Linked DNA regions of Stegostoma tigrinum. The protein of the gene in region 1 purifies or fractionates together with the protein of each later gene. This does not show direct contact. Links are inferred from orthologs where the notes say so. Each region holds a gene or a part of one and is shown on either strand. Other genes may lie near its edges.

Evidence for each region. Proteins that work in one complex are often made in the same cells at the same time.
Region 2: the proteins of pdcd4b (region 1) and eif4g1a purify together in Homo sapiens (affinity purification with western blotting; 3 studies listed by BioGRID and IntAct, with this or other methods). This does not show direct contact. The link is inferred for Stegostoma tigrinum from reciprocal best matches to the Homo sapiens genes PDCD4 and EIF4G1.

The regions. Positions count from the first base shown.
Region 1 is NC_081373.1:2,184,848-2,192,566, reverse strand, and holds the start of pdcd4b (programmed cell death protein 4b), read left to right. Parts: upstream 1-4,708; 5' UTR 4,709-5,354; coding exon 5,355-5,397; intron 5,398-7,719. UniProt on the Homo sapiens protein: Inhibits translation initiation and cap-dependent translation. May excert its function by hindering the interaction between EIF4A1 and EIF4G. Inhibits the helicase activity of EIF4A. Modulates the activation of JUN kinase.
Region 2 is NC_081367.1:44,939,514-44,947,318, forward strand, and holds the start of eif4g1a (eukaryotic translation initiation factor 4 gamma 1a), read right to left. Parts: upstream 3,017-7,805; 5' UTR 2,934-3,016; intron 2,796-2,933; 5' UTR 2,732-2,795; intron 1-2,731.

The DNA.
Region 1 (7,719 bases):
ATGAGTTCAAAGTGAGAGGAGGAAAGTTTAAGGGAGATATGCGTGGAAAGTTCTTTACACAGAGGGTGGTGGGCGCCTGGAACGCGTTGCCAGCGGAGGTGGTAGACGCAGACACGATAGTGTCTTTTAAGATATATTTGGACAGGTACATGGATGGGCAGGGAGGAAAGGGATACAGACCGTTAGAAAATAGATGACAGGTTAGACAGAGGATCTTGATCGGCGTAGGCTTGGAGGTCCAAAGGGCCTGTTCCTGTGCTGTAGGTTTCTTTGGTTCTGAGTTAATTATTTCCGTGACTATATGGGCTTGTTTACTTAGTTTGGATTCTTCTACTTATGGCACATTTAGTTCAAAGCAACACTGAGTGAACGCAAGATAACACAGTGTGGAGCTGGAGGAACATAGCAGGCCAGGCAGCATCAGAGGAGCAGGAAAGCAGATGTTCTTGGCCATGAAAGATGTGAGCAGTGCCTGCATACTTTTCTCTGATGCTGCCTGGCCTGCTGTGTTCCTCCAGCTCCACGCTGTGTTATCTCTGACTCCAGGATCAGCAGTTCTTTCTATCTCTGAGAAAACACTAGATGCTTTCAACTGCCTGCAGCAAGGCCAAGACCTGTCTGAGCATGAGGAATTATAATTCCCAAACAATGCTCAAGCGCAATTTGGAAAGTGGGTGATGAAAAAGCCAATGTGAAATGCTGAGTTAATTATGGAGAATTTGTGTTGCTAATAATCTAGTTGTTTAGATTCAACAGGATTCGAGCACAATATCTATTTGGGAAATGGCAGTGGACAATGAAGTAATTTGTGAACAATTGATAGGTATCCTATAGGTCAGCTCTTCAATTGAGGCTTCACAGTAGGCTGTTGCAATAAAAAAATTCAGATGAGATTTTAACCATTTTTAATTAATTTGCTGGAACATAAATCAGGCCTGGGTATTACAGTCAACTGGATATTTTTCTGTTTGAAGAGCAGGACATTAACTCTCTGGCATGGTTGCCCATTGGCAGATAAAATCTGGCTTTCAATGTCTGCTGAATACTCTTCAATGGTACCAGTGGACATTGACAGGAAATTAAAACAAGAAAGAAACAGCCTGCATTGGCATATTGCCTCTCAATGTAGCAACTGGATATCCCAAAGGCTGCACAATCAACACAGCAGTGCTCAACAGTAACATGCCTGAAAAAGGGATCCAAGAACGGAAATAAATTCACCCTTGGACATCAGCTCAAATAAATAAATAAATTGATAAATCAGCTCACTTGCCAGTACCAATGAATTATCCTGATGCCTATCAAGGGTTTGCAAGCCTGTAGTGAATGTACAGAGATAGGGCCAAGATAGGAACAAAGGAAAAGCAGGGATAACGTGGAAAAGTTAAGGCAGTTTGGGGAAAAGTATGAACCAGTAATGACCTGCAGTTGTTTCATGTAATCAGAAGAGGTATGCTGGATACCATAAAATATTGTGAGTTTTATTCTGACTGCCTCCTGTAATCCTGGTTAGGGATATTATTTGGGTGTGACCTATTGTCAAAGTTTTCAAGCACTGCTCATAGAACATAGGACATTACAGCACACATTGATTTAAGGTAAGAGTTTATAGCAGACAGAAGTAAAACTTCTTTAAGCAAATGGTGGTGGCAAGCTGGTTCACACATCTTTTGGTTGCGAGCAATGTAATAATTTGGATACAGCAAATAATAGTTGATGATTATCATAATCGGCCCTCGATGTTGTGCTGACCTGTCATACCCATTTGAAGCCCATAAGCCATATTCGTTAGCAAGTGAACACTCCAGCAGTGACAGAAACTGCTGGAGAAACTCAGCAGGTCTGGCAGCATCCTGAGAGAAAACCATGTTAATGTTTGGAGTCCTATGAGCTTTCTCCAGCAACTTCTGTTTTGTTTTGTTTCAGCTCAATGGGCTCAATGACTTCCTTCTGGATTGTGACAATTATGATTTTCTGATTTTTTTTGGACCAGGGTACAAACTCAAGTGGGACAGTACAGATTATCATCGTGCAACATTCACTGTTTTTCTCCAGGTACTGTCTGACTTCCTGAGCATTTGAAGCAGTCTGTGTGGTTTTTTTTAAAAATTCCAGCTTCTCTGGTCTTCCCACACCATTGAAGTCCTTCTATTTGCTGCCATTCTAGTAAGAATTGAAATCTTCTCTTCATTCTCTCAACTAGAATGGCATGTGGGAAATGTTTTTAATCATCCAGTTCAGGTTTGTTATGGCATACCTCTGGAGCAGGCAGAATTGGGACCCCAGGCTCATGGCTCAGAGCCAGGGACACTACCACTGCGCCACAACAAAAGGTATGTAAGACACTTGCCTTAATGAGTCAAGGCACTAAAAACAAGAGTGAGGAGATAATGATGGAGCTGTATGTAATGTTCGGCCACTGCTGGAGTACTGTGTGCAGGTCTGGTTGCTGCTCTATAGGAAGGATGTGATTGCACTGGACAGGGTGCAGAGGAGATTCACTAGGAGGTTCCCTGGGATGGAGAGATCCAGAGAGACTGGGACAGACAAGCAGCCGGTTTAGAGCAGGGAGGGCTGAGGGGAATCTGACTGAGGTGTACAAAGTTTTAAGGGGCACACACGGGACGGTAAGGAGAAATGTTTTCCCTTAGTCCAGGGATCAGAAACTGGGGGCACAGTTTTTAAGGAAAGGAGCAGGTGGTTTAGAGAAGATTTAAGTAGGAAAATATTTTCATCTACGGTGGTGGGAATCTGGAACTGACTGATGGTTGATGCAGAAACCCTCAAGATTTTTTTGCCCAAATGTACCTTATTCATTTTAAAAATCATCTGTAGGTACATACAAAGTTTTTAAATCAGCTGTGTACAGTCTTTACAGAGAAAAAGCAAAACATCAGAATTTTGACATTTCTCACAGCCTTCCTATAGTTACAAAATCAAAAGTATTTGCAAATCATGCAGAAAACTATTAGCATGTATTTTGAGGCAATGAGAGGGTGTAAAAACATTTTGAGATGAATAACACACACACAGACTAAAGGATTACAGGCCTGGTGCTGGAGAATGAGATGTCAACCACAGCAGACCCAGTCACTGTGACACCCTCCCTAAAACCAAGTGGAGTATTAACCGGCACCTCACTAAAGAATTCCGTTTGGTTTACTTCTCCTTTCCTGAGGAACCAGATGATCCAAATGATAATTACATCTCCCAATGTCTGACAGGCAAGGCATTGCACGCCTGACATCACATCTGAGAAGGGTGGCAGCATGAGTCCTCTGAGGATGTCCTATAAACCAGGAGCCAGCACTGAGTGCACCCAGCCATGGATCCTAGCTGGGAGACCAAGATAACAAGGTGTAGAGCTGGATGAACACAGCAGGTCAAGCAGCATCTTAGGAGCAGGAAAGCTGATGCTTCCGGCCAAGAACCTTCATCAGAAAAGGGGAAGGGAGAGAGGGTTCTGAAATAAATAGGGAGAGAGGGGGAGGCGGATCGAAGATGGATAGAGGAGAAGATAGGTGGAGAGGAGACAAAGAGGCGGGGATGGAGCCAGTAACGGTGAGTGTAGGTGGAGAGTTAGGGAGGGAATAGGAAACGTCAGCTTTTGTGCTCCTAAGATGCTGCTTGGCCTGCTGTGTTCATCCAGCTCTACACTTTGTTATCAGAGATAATGGGAACTGCAGATGCTGGAGATTCCAAGATAATAAAATGTGAGGCTGGATGAACACAGCAGGCCAAGCAGCATCTCAGGAGCACTTTGTTATCTCGGATTCACCAGCATCTGCAGCTCCCATTACCTTTCGCTGGGAGACCATCGGGCAGGACCTCCAAGGCAGGTGGCAGCACTGAGACTAGCCTCGGATTGAGGGGGAGCCGAACAGTACTTGGCGTTGATTGGTCGTTGGGCCGGCCGCCGTCGAATGGACCTGGCTGCCATTGGTCGGACCTGAGGCGAAGGTGGCGAATGAACAATGCTGTTGCTAGCCACGTGTCCCAAGGGGGGGGGGGAACAATTCGAAGCGACTGGAAGGGGGGTTGCGCTCCAGAGGAGTGCCCGAGCCCGGGGGTAGGATCGCCGCCGCCTGAGGATTCCCGGAGGTCGGAGAGAGGAACTGCCGCAGGATTCCAGTCACTGGGTCATTCTCCTCCCTCAGGGGCTCCGTTCAAATTAAACAACCGATTTGTTTTCCTTCAAGTGGGAGGCGCTGAGGGGGCGGGTGTGGGTTCAGGGGGAAAGATACAGGCCCCGGGGGAACCATCGTCCCTTAGACAACCCTTCACCCCCCACACAGGGTCAAAACAACCCCCACACCCCGTCAGACAATCCCTCCCCCCACAGGGTCAAAACAACCCCCACACCCCGTCAGACAATCCCTCCCCCCCCCACATAGGGTCAAAACAACCCCCACACCCCGTCAGACAATCCCTCCCCCCACAGGGTCAAAACAACCCCCACACCCCGTCAGACAATCCCTCCCCCCACAGGGTCAAAACAACCCCCACACCCCGTCAGACAATCCCTCCCCCCCCCCACATAGGGTCAAAACAACCCCCACACCCCGTCAGACAATCCCTCTCTTCCCCCCCACAGGATCAAAACAACCCCCACACCCCGTCAGACAATCCCTTCCCCCCCCCCCACAGGGTCAAAACACCTCTTCTCCCTCCCCCCCCCCCCGAGACAACCCCCTTCACCCACACAGGCACAAAGCAACCCATAAACCCCTTTCCCACAGGGACAAACCCCCCCCGTGAGAAAACTACTCCCCTCCCCTACAGGAACAAACCCCCCCTACCCGAGACAATTCCTTCCACATCCCCTCAACAGTCACCCACCCCACCCACTTCCTGAGTCAAAACCCCCACCCTGTGAGACAACTTGTCTGTTCCCCCATCGGGACAAAACCCTCCCCCAACAGGGACACCCCCCACCACCCCGAGACAATCCCTTCCCCCCCACCCCCATAGGGATAAAACTCCCTTCCCCCACAGGGACAAGAAACAGAGACAAAACCCTCCACCCCGAGGGGAACAGCCCCCATCACCGTATGAAGACCACCCCTCCCAGATACAGCGATCACCTTTCACTTCCTGAACCGAACCAAACCCACACACCTTCTCTCCCCCCCCCCCGAGAAATCGCTCCCTTCGCCCTCCCCGAGGCAGCTCTCCGCCCACTCTCCCATTGGAAATCAGTGCCTCCGCCCACACTCGGAGACAACACTCGCTGTCTCGCACTTCCTGAGACTCCAGTTCCCCCTCAGCACACCACCCTGTGAGCCCTCGCTGTCACTCCCTGTGAAAACACACACTCCACTCCCTGAGATCTAGGGCTCAGACCTTCCAGCAACATGGCAACAGAGGCAGAGAGCAAATTCAGAAACTCTGCAGCAGGTACTGAGACACAGGAGGTCTGGATGTTCATTGCAATGGCTTTTTGAACGCAGAGATTCTATTTAAAATGATTTTTTAATAACAAGTAGTATTGTGATCACGATGTGCAAGGCGAATATCTATTTTGGGACTGAAATTCTTAATTTTCGTGTGCTTTAACCCTCATTGCACCTCTTCGAATAAGTTTTTTGTTTTGTTTTCAAATGCCGCGTGTGTTGCCATATTTCTTCCAGAAGTACTTCCACTTTAAAAGTTCCAGGGAAGCATCTTGCATGGCCACGTGCTGTGATGGAGTGTTACTGTTCTTTAGTGTGTTTCCTAGTCAGTGTGTATTTGGTGGTTTTGAGAATTGAATTTCTTCAGTCACTGTTTTGTTTCGGAAGGTATTGATGTTCTTAACCCTTTAATCGCCGCGATGATGCACACGTTTACTTAAGTGTTAATCTAGGATTTTAAGATTTAACGAGTTGGTAATTTCTCTCATCACTCCTCCCCCCTTCCAAAACAAAACAAAAATTGGCCTTTTTTTTCAAGAATTAAAATGAACTTTGTGCACCACAGGGGATCTTGCATTATATATCAAAGTTGTTTGTGGCATTTGTGGGAGGAAAGCAACCTTGTATTGAAGAACTTTGCAGTTTAAAGTAAAAGTCTGCTGTATCTGTTATGTAATACAGGTTGCAGTAATTGCCGTGATGGCTGTTATGCTTTTGGTTGAAGGCGTTAGTTCTCCAGAATATTGTATTTTGTCTTTGAATAATATCACGCGACCTTTTTATCGTAAACTGGAGGAGGTAAATTGGTCTCCCCTCTAACCATACAGTGCTACTTCAATAATGCGTGGTAATATTGGCCCAATTCCTGAATGTAGACTGGAATTTGCAACTATCTGAACCAAGTTGTTTGTTGTAATTGAGATTCTTTTATGTTAATAACATTTTATTTTAATATATTGTGATAATGTTGTGATTGGGTGAAACAGATCGTATGATGTATTCATGACATGTATAGCTCTTGTTTCCCAGCAGGTGTAGCAACTCATGTCTGTCACTGCTGGACAAATAATAGGACTGATGGGTTGAGGGATTGATCTTCTAACCATTTTAAAATGAAGGACAGGCATGGCTCTTAAAGCTAATTTAGTTTTGTATTCTGTGACAGAGGGTCATGTCTCTTGTCAGTCTTTTGCACTTCATCATGTGCTCCCTGTCTGCTTGCCTGGCATCGAGCCCAGTTAAACACTGGAAATTTCAAGACTGTAATCTTCCATTTTCACTGCTTCCCAACTTCATGTATTTTAGTACCTCCACACCTGATTGTACCAATGCTTTGCACCAAGTTCCATTCATTTGTTTCATTTCCTAACATTTATATATTGTTCTGTAGTCCTAAGACCTCTGAAAAAATCTCACTGATTAACTCCCTGTGTGATGCTGTACCCATTACCTCTATTGTTTATTCTATCTTTACAGCCCTTCACTAACATTGTATTCTTCTTGAACGTGCCTTCATGGCTGAGCCTTTGGCTTTTTAGACCCTAAATTCTGGATTTTCCTTTCTAAGCCTTTTTTGTTTCTGCCTTCGCCATCTTCTCGTGCACTCCTTAAATCTTATCGGTTTGACCAAGCTTTTTGTTCCTCACCTAATATTGACTTTTCTCTTTTTATCCATTCATTGGAAGTGAACCTCACTGGCTATGCCAGCATCTGTTGCCCATCCCTGATTTCCCTTGGTGGTAGTGATGAGCTGCATTGTCAAGTCGCTGTAGTACATGATGTTCCGGTACACGCAGTGCTGTTAGAGAAGGAAATTCCAGGATTTTACCCGAATGAATGCTGATGAATTTCCAACTCTCAATGGCCTGAGGCTCAAAGGGGGACCTGCAGCTGATGATCAAAGGTGCTCCTATGTATTTTTTTGTCCTTGACCTCTATTACCTAGAAAGATGCAGATTTGGAAGGAGCTATCACAGGAACCTGGGTGAGTTGTTTCAGTGCGTCCTGTAGATGATCCACACTATTGCCACTGTGTTACAGGTAGTGGGAGTGAATCTTTGTGGTGGTTTTTGTTAATTGCTGTCTGAACCGGCTTCTGCACAACACCATATTTTGTCAAGAGATAAGAGTGTGGAGCTGGATGAACACAGCAGGCCAAGCAGCATCTTAGGAACACAAATGCTGATGTTTTGGGCCTAGACTCTTCTTCAGAAAAGGGGGAGAGAGAGAGGGGGAGGCAGATAAAAGATGGATAGAGGAGAAGATAGGTGGAGATGAGACAGAAGTTAGAGGCGGGGATGGAGTCAGTAGAGGTGAGTGTAGGTAG
Region 2 (7,805 bases), on another chromosome or scaffold:
GCCTAAGCTACAGGTGATTATGTAGACTTCAATTAAAACGCTGTAAAGCTAACCAACTAATCAAGTTGTTTAAGAGCAAATTACTGCAGATGATGGAATCTGAACAAAAACAAAAAAATGCTGGCGATCTCGGCAGGTCAGGCAGCATCCATGGACAGAAGGCAAGCTAACATTTCAAGTCTAGCTGACTCTTCATCAGAGCTGATGAAGAGTCATCGAAACTCAAAATGTTAGCCTGCTTTCTCTCCATGGATGCAGCCTGACCTGCTGTAAGTCAAGTTGTTTACCAGGTAGCTCATTTCAAACTTGTTTCACTTTTTGGAAAAAAGATAGATATATTACTAGACGAACAGAACTGCTAACAGCTGTAATGTTTAAACTCACTTTTATTTCTACTGTTCAAATATGTAGCGCATTATTTTGAGTTATCTAAATTTGCCTACTTGAAACCTGGCATGAAGTTCTTTGGTATGATGCAGGAGACCTATATATTTGGATTATTTCAGTGGTGAATATTTGACACTAATTCCAAACAAAATTAGACAACAGATCAATTCAGGCAAGTTCTTTACCAAAATAGAAGGCCATAATAAATGCAAGTGTCAAGTGCATTTTAATTTAGACTCAATTCCAATGGCTATTGCCACTTCCAAAAATCTCAGACTGCACACAACTGATAAAAAACAGAAGACACCTGAGGCAACACTGTGATATCAGTATTAAGAAGTCTCATTTCTTCTACCAGACACACAACGTTCTCTCATGTATACACTACGAGACGATTATTAAACCTTACAGCCTGTTACTGCAGTGCAGAGAGAAAACGCACAAACTGTAATGAACACCAAAACCACACCCACTGCCAGGGAGCAGCAGAGTCCATGTGAAAATGTCATATGAAATGTGACTATTGTGATCTTTGTATATGCATTGATATTTGCCACACATTCTCAAATCATTTAATTTTTCATGTATGCAAACTGCTTTACATCTCCATATTTTGCATAACATCCACATCAAATCAAATGTCACAGCATTCATTTCAAACTTACAGTCAATCCAAAACCCATATCGTATTGATGATATGCCCCCTTATAACTTGATAACTAAGTGTTTTTGTACTTGAATTAACACAGACTTTTTCAGTGGCAGGGTCAAATCAGATGAGAAATTATTAGTATTTACAGTGGTGAAGGGCAGATTTCAAATATCTAAAGTACTTGCCCTCACCATTTAGTGAGAAACTTGGGTATTAATTCACAACACAATTTCATAAATACAACTAAACGCTCAATGATTTTTACACGTTTCGCTAGCAGCAATCGGGCATTTCAGTCAATAAACTTTCTTACTATGTGTTTCAAAAGTAAGTTTAATCTCGAATGATAATTGAACGTTGCAATGCATTATCTCTATCTACCCACACTTGCCCCACCCCCAAAAAGCAATCCTTTTCCTCGAAAACATAAGGATCGGGTCTTCAAACTGAAAGCAGACATCGGGGGCTATAAACAGGAATTGACTCAGCACTTTCTAAAACTTGCTATTCGTATCCTTCATGTTAGTAGCTTTAAAATTAAATAAATCTGTTCCAACACTTTCCCATTACGCCATCCTTCAAAGTTGCTACTACTTATTAAACGTAATTCCCAAAGATGGTTAAAACTTCAATGCACTTCCGTTTTTGAAAAAATCCGAGCCCTCACTTTTTTTTTAAATGGTCACATGGCGATCTTTCCTCAGTGTTGAGTGAATATCTATATATAGTTAAAGATTAAGGAAGAGTTTGCAACAGCGGAGTGCGATGATGTTTGTGCAGTAAGAGCCGGCAGCACTCAACCGTGTGGGGAGGTGACAGTGACTCACTCGCTTGCGCTATGCCTCGGAGACCAACCAACAGCCGCACATGGTTCCTCTTTTACCGGCTTTTTCCCTCCTCCCCCTCCAGCACAAACGTGTCATTTCAGACTCAGGCTACAAACGCGCTAACACCCTACACACGCGCGGCAGAAATATTAATGCAAATACTAATATATACAATATACAGCTAGAGTCAAAGCCCGGCCGGTGTCTTCCCCAACTCCCCCACCCCCCACCCACGACACTCTGAGCCTGGGGCGGGGGTTACATTCCACCCCAGGGCAGCGACGTAGCTTCCATATGGTCAAGGGCCTTACTACCAAAAGCAAGCACAACCGAGAAACAGAAGTTAAAACCCAGACTTTGGTTTTAGCCAGTCCCTCACCTCTCCCACTAAAAACTTCAAAATGACATGAGACTCTTGTAGGCTGGGGCCTCCTCTCCCTTGGCTGCAGAGGGAGAGAGGGGTGGCTCAGGCTGGACGGCCTGCTCTCTCCCCGTCTTTTTCCAGAAGCCGGGGAAAACCAGTATGGGGGGGGAGGGAGAGGAGAGAGACTGGGGCCTGGCTGCCACTCAACCCGGGCTTTAGGGAGTGGTGGGGCTAAAAGGCTATGGCCTTCACCCCAACCCCAACCCCAACCCCAACCGAGTGGCGCCGGCCGCGGGCTTGAAAGCGACTCGATATTCCCAGGAATCGGGAGGTGGAGATGATGGGGAGGAATATGCTGAGGCCGCTGTTGCCTGCCCCCCCAGTTAGAGAGAGGGGTTTCTCTCCCTCTCTCTCTCTATATAGCCGTTCCTTCACCTTCCCTCCCCTTTCCTGCAGCCCCAGCCCTGGGTGTCAGCAGAAACACGTCAGGCCACCCCTTACCCGGGAAGGACTGGGCTCCTCCTCAAGGTGTAAGTGTTTTTTTTCTTTCCTCCCTTCTTCTGTCCTGTGAATCAGAAAAATAAAACAATCAGGCCGAAGCACAGAAGGCAGGACAGCCACCGGGCCAGTCAGCAGTGACTGCTTGCAGTCTCCATGCCGAGGATGGAGACGGATAATAAAAAGCGGCCCAGTAATGGCGTACCTTCGTCCTCAGTCCGCACAGCCGGACGATCGGCTACTTTCGGAGATTTCCGCCTCTAGGGTTCCGGAAAGGACACGTGACACCGCCAGGGAGAGGGCAGCCGCGATTCACTCCTAAATCACAAGCACTTAGGTTTAATATTGTTGCAATAACACATTCTCTTCCACAGTTCCAAAGCATGCACGCACCACCCGGCTGGTGTTTCCTTGCCTGCCCCCAAACCCCGCCCCTCCCCGAAATTTAACAGTTTTGTGGCGAGCAAATTATCCTATTTCTTCGAGAAATGTCCGGAACTGTACTTCATATTCAATGAATTACTTGGAGGTGTAGATACTGACGGCACACCACTCCCCACAAGAAAAAAAACAAACAGTAGTTGCGTTATGTAAAAGTTTACGTTTATGTAAAGCAACATGAAGAGCCAACTCGCATACAATCCAGTAGACAGGTCAGGGAAACTCAGTTGAGCACCCTAATGCCATGTAGAAATTTGCTCATTGTAGAATCTCTGAGCCCACAGACTCGAACAAAGTGATATCAAATAATCTGATATAGACAAGTATTAACATAAATTTCAGAAACATCTAAAGGGCATGATATGAAAATATAACTGCTAATGCAAAAAAAATCTGCTGGAGATCACAGCTGGTCAGACAGCGTTTTTCAATCTAGTTAACAATTCACCAGAGCTAATACAAATTCTGTTTAAAAAAAATAATTTAAACAATCTCTATAGCTTGTGGGCTGACAGAGTGGGAAGTCAAATTATTACAGAGTCAGAGGAGATATCTTACACAATTTGTTTCCCTTTTTCTCCATGGGTAGGAAATAGTCCCAACCTGTCCTGATCCAAATGAAAGACTAAGTTGAGAACATGTTATGAGAATTTCCAAGTTCACATACACTTGTGTAAAACAGTACATGAAGGTAAGGGTGCATGACAGGCCCCACCCCACACAGAGTGCCTTACAATTATCTTGCAAAATGCATCAATAATATTTCCCAACACTGTTCCATATGCAACTCAGCAACCTTTGTAGCAAAGCATGCATGATACAATATAACAAAGTATGAAGCTGGATGAACACAGCAGGCCAAGCAGCATCTCAGGAGCACAAAAGCTGACGTTTCGGGCCTATACCCATCACCAGCATCTGCAGTTCCCATTATCTCTTATCCATGATACAATATAGCCACTATGAGCCATTCAATGGTATCAAACAAGCAAAGAGCAAGTTATAAAGACATTATAACATGGTTATATTCAGTCTCTTAGTGAAGGGATCATAATCAATGTATTATATCAGGGCATTATACTGAGTAGCTACTGTCTTTATTCACAGTGTGCAGAAGTCAATTTCTGCATAGAGCAAGTTCAGCATGGCAAGAAAGACTTATTTGTATCAGGAATTGTTCGCAGAATTCACCCTTGCACTGTAATTGATTAAACCCAAAAATGATATATCAGGTTGTACTGCTCCTAAATGACACTGGAGAAATCTTCAGAGTACATCAGAATAATGTGTTAAAAGCTACAACACATATATAGATTAGTTAGTAACTAGGTATTCTCACTCTTTTCCATCACAGTCTGTACATTGGAACTGAAAAGGTCTTTCTGATAAGAGGAATTGCTTGTTCTTAACAAGAATTTAGTCTCATTAAACAAATGGGGAGTATTTACATATTTACATTATTTACAAGTTTCCTTATCCAAAGTGAAAATATTTTTAATTATGTCACAATGTACCAATCTGATGTCAGCAGCTTTCTCATGACATCATAAAGTCACTCAACTGCCTTCATAGTTTAAATTTTAAAAAGTTAATAATTATAAACAATTGTTATTTATGTAATATGCTCAGGTATGTTTTAAGTAAGAAGGAATGAACATTATTAAATACATTTTGGTGCAGCCTGTATCAACATATCCCAATTCCTACATTCTGAGTACTGTAATTTTCTGCAAAGAAATATAAAAGGATCATATGATACATCCATCTGTGTCATGATGAATATCTTCACGAGTGAGGTGTATGGAATAATATTTATGAGTGGGTTGTGATCAGACTTGTGAACAAGTGTATTTATCATACCATACTGCAGCCCCTAGGGTATGTTCTACTTTATAAAATTGCAAGACTTTTTCAACTAAAAAGATGAATTTGGATAATTTTGTAGGACAGAAAAAGCAATTCCGGCAGCTTTGTGATGTAACTTGTCATTCTGATGTCATTACAATAAAATAAGATTCACTTAAATGTCAATTGAGCCTCAGTTGGTGGTACTTCCACGTGAAGGCTCTGAGTTCAGGTCTTACTCCAAAACCTACAGCACAAAACTTAGATCTGTTCTCTAGTGAAGCAGTGAGGCATTTTTAATTGTTGGACGTGCCACCTTCAAGTTGAGGTGTTAAACTTAAGCCTCAACTCAACTCTCTGGTGGATGGTACAGATTTCGTGCTATTATTTGAAGAAAGATCATGTGAGATTTCCCCATTCTCAGCCAACGTTCTTTCCTCAACTAACATCATTTCTAAAAGCAGTTTAACTGGTCATTATAATTTTGATATTTGAATCTTGTTGTATCTTAAATGCTGTATTTGCTACATTACAACATTGGTGACACTTAAAATTTCATTGGCTATAAAACACTTGAGATTTCATACAAGGTGTGAGTCTCTGTTAAGTAGAAGCTTTATCAGCATGTCGTGAAATGAAATAACTACCTCCACAGAGGACTGATTTACCAAGTGTTATGATGCTCCTGTGAAATGCTTGGGACATTTAGGATCTAAAAGACCATAAAGTCATGCAGTCATACACCATGGAAAGAGACTCTTCAGTCCAAACATTCCATGCCAACCCAAATCCCAAATAAACTATACCTACCTGCCCGTGCTTGGCCCATATCCTTCCAAATATTTGTTGTTCACTTACTTATCCAATTGTATTTTAAACACTAACTGTACCCGCATTCATTAGTTCCTGTGGAAGTTCATTCCACACATGAACCACTCTCTGTGTGAAAAAGTGGCCCCTCATGTCTTTTTTAAAATTGTTTTCCTCTCACCTTAAAAATATGTTCCCCAGTATTGAAATATACAACCCTTGGGAAAAGACACCTGCCTTCACCTTATCTATATACCCTTCTTGATTTTATAAACCTCTGTAAGGTGAATTGAATTGAGTCAGCCTTTATTGTCATGTGCACTCAGATGAATGAAGTGAAAAGTTTGTAATGTCAACTCTTTTGGTGCCATTTTAGGTACAGAGTACCTAGGGACAGAATTCTTAAGTACGCGTTAAAGACATGAAAGAATCATATATAAAAGTGCAGCACAAGAATAAGAATGTTTTCGTTTATAAAGTACTCAAATTGTAGTCTTTCCACCAAGCACCCAACCTTCAGCCTGCCCAGGCGAAGTCTCCAGATCACGCTGAGCTTCAAACCTCGAGATCTTGCTTCCATTTCCCAAAGGCCTCACCTCCACTCCAGGACTCACCGTTCCAGTGCTAGACTCAGTATACCTCGCTTCCTACACTCGAATGAAAGATGTCCCAGCCTCTCCTCATAACTCTTACCCTCCATTCTTGGTAACATCCTGGTAGATATTTTCTGAACCATCTCCAGCTTAATAATATCTTCCCGATAATAGGGCAACAGTACTGGACACAGTACTCCAAAAGAGGCTCCACCAATGTTCTGTACAACCTCAATGTGACATCCCAACCCCTATACTCAAACTTCTGAGTAATAAAGGCAAGCATGCTAAACATCTTCTTAACCAGCCTGTCCACATGTGACACAAACTTCAGAGAACCAAGGTGCCTGAAGCCCTGGTTCTCATTGTTCTACAACACAATCCAAGCCCCGACTTTTAATTGTATAAGTCCTGCCCTTATTTGTTTTTCCAAAGTGCAATACCTCAAATTTTTCCAAATTAAACTCAATTTGCTACTCCTCAGCCCAAATTGATTTTGTTGTTTTTGGGTTCACTGTCAAAAGTGGGTTCAGATCTATTTCATAATTATGCAGACAAATTGTCATTTAAAAAGCCAGTCATGGCACATTTTAGTTTTGATATTTTGGCTATGCTTCTACAGAAATGATTTTAATAACATAAAATTGTATTAACTGTGTAGAATGCATTTTTAACCCAAAACAATTCAGTCTTTCACTTTTCTACTGTAATATGGTGACAGAGGGAAAAAGAAGTTTATTTTGATTGATATTTCTGTCAGCAAGCATTTTTTCAACATTCCTCTTTCAACATATTCAGAATCCTCAGGGACTAAGCAAATATAATAAACAAGTATCTCAAACTTACAGGAAAAGAAAGACTAAAATGCAATGGCCACTCTCTGCTGAATTATATCATTTCAACAGGTCACAATGATAGAGGGCTTTACACACTGACGGCAGGGGCTGTTGTGGTGCAGTGGTAGTATCCTGCCCCTGAACCAAGAGGCTTTGTTTCAAGTGCCCACTTGCTACAGTGGTACATAAGAACATCTCTGAACAGGTTGTGTAAAAGTATTCACAATTAGCTGCAGCTGGCACCCCAACATAGGGTACCTTTTCCCTTTCCAATGACCAACCCTAAAGTACATATGGTGATACACCAATATTATGCTAAATTTTGATGCTATTCACAATGAAATAGCTTCCTGATAGTTACTCGCAATGTCAGGGGTTTTGAAATGTTTTGATGTCAAGGGAACTTTACAAGTACCAGCATGCTACGAAGTACTGTTTGTCCTGATTTCCAAACTATCAGTACGTATCCCAAAATACTCAGAGAGCAAATTGAATTGTAAGCTAACCAAGTGTGGAGCTGGATGAACACAGCAGGCCAAGCAGCATCTCAGG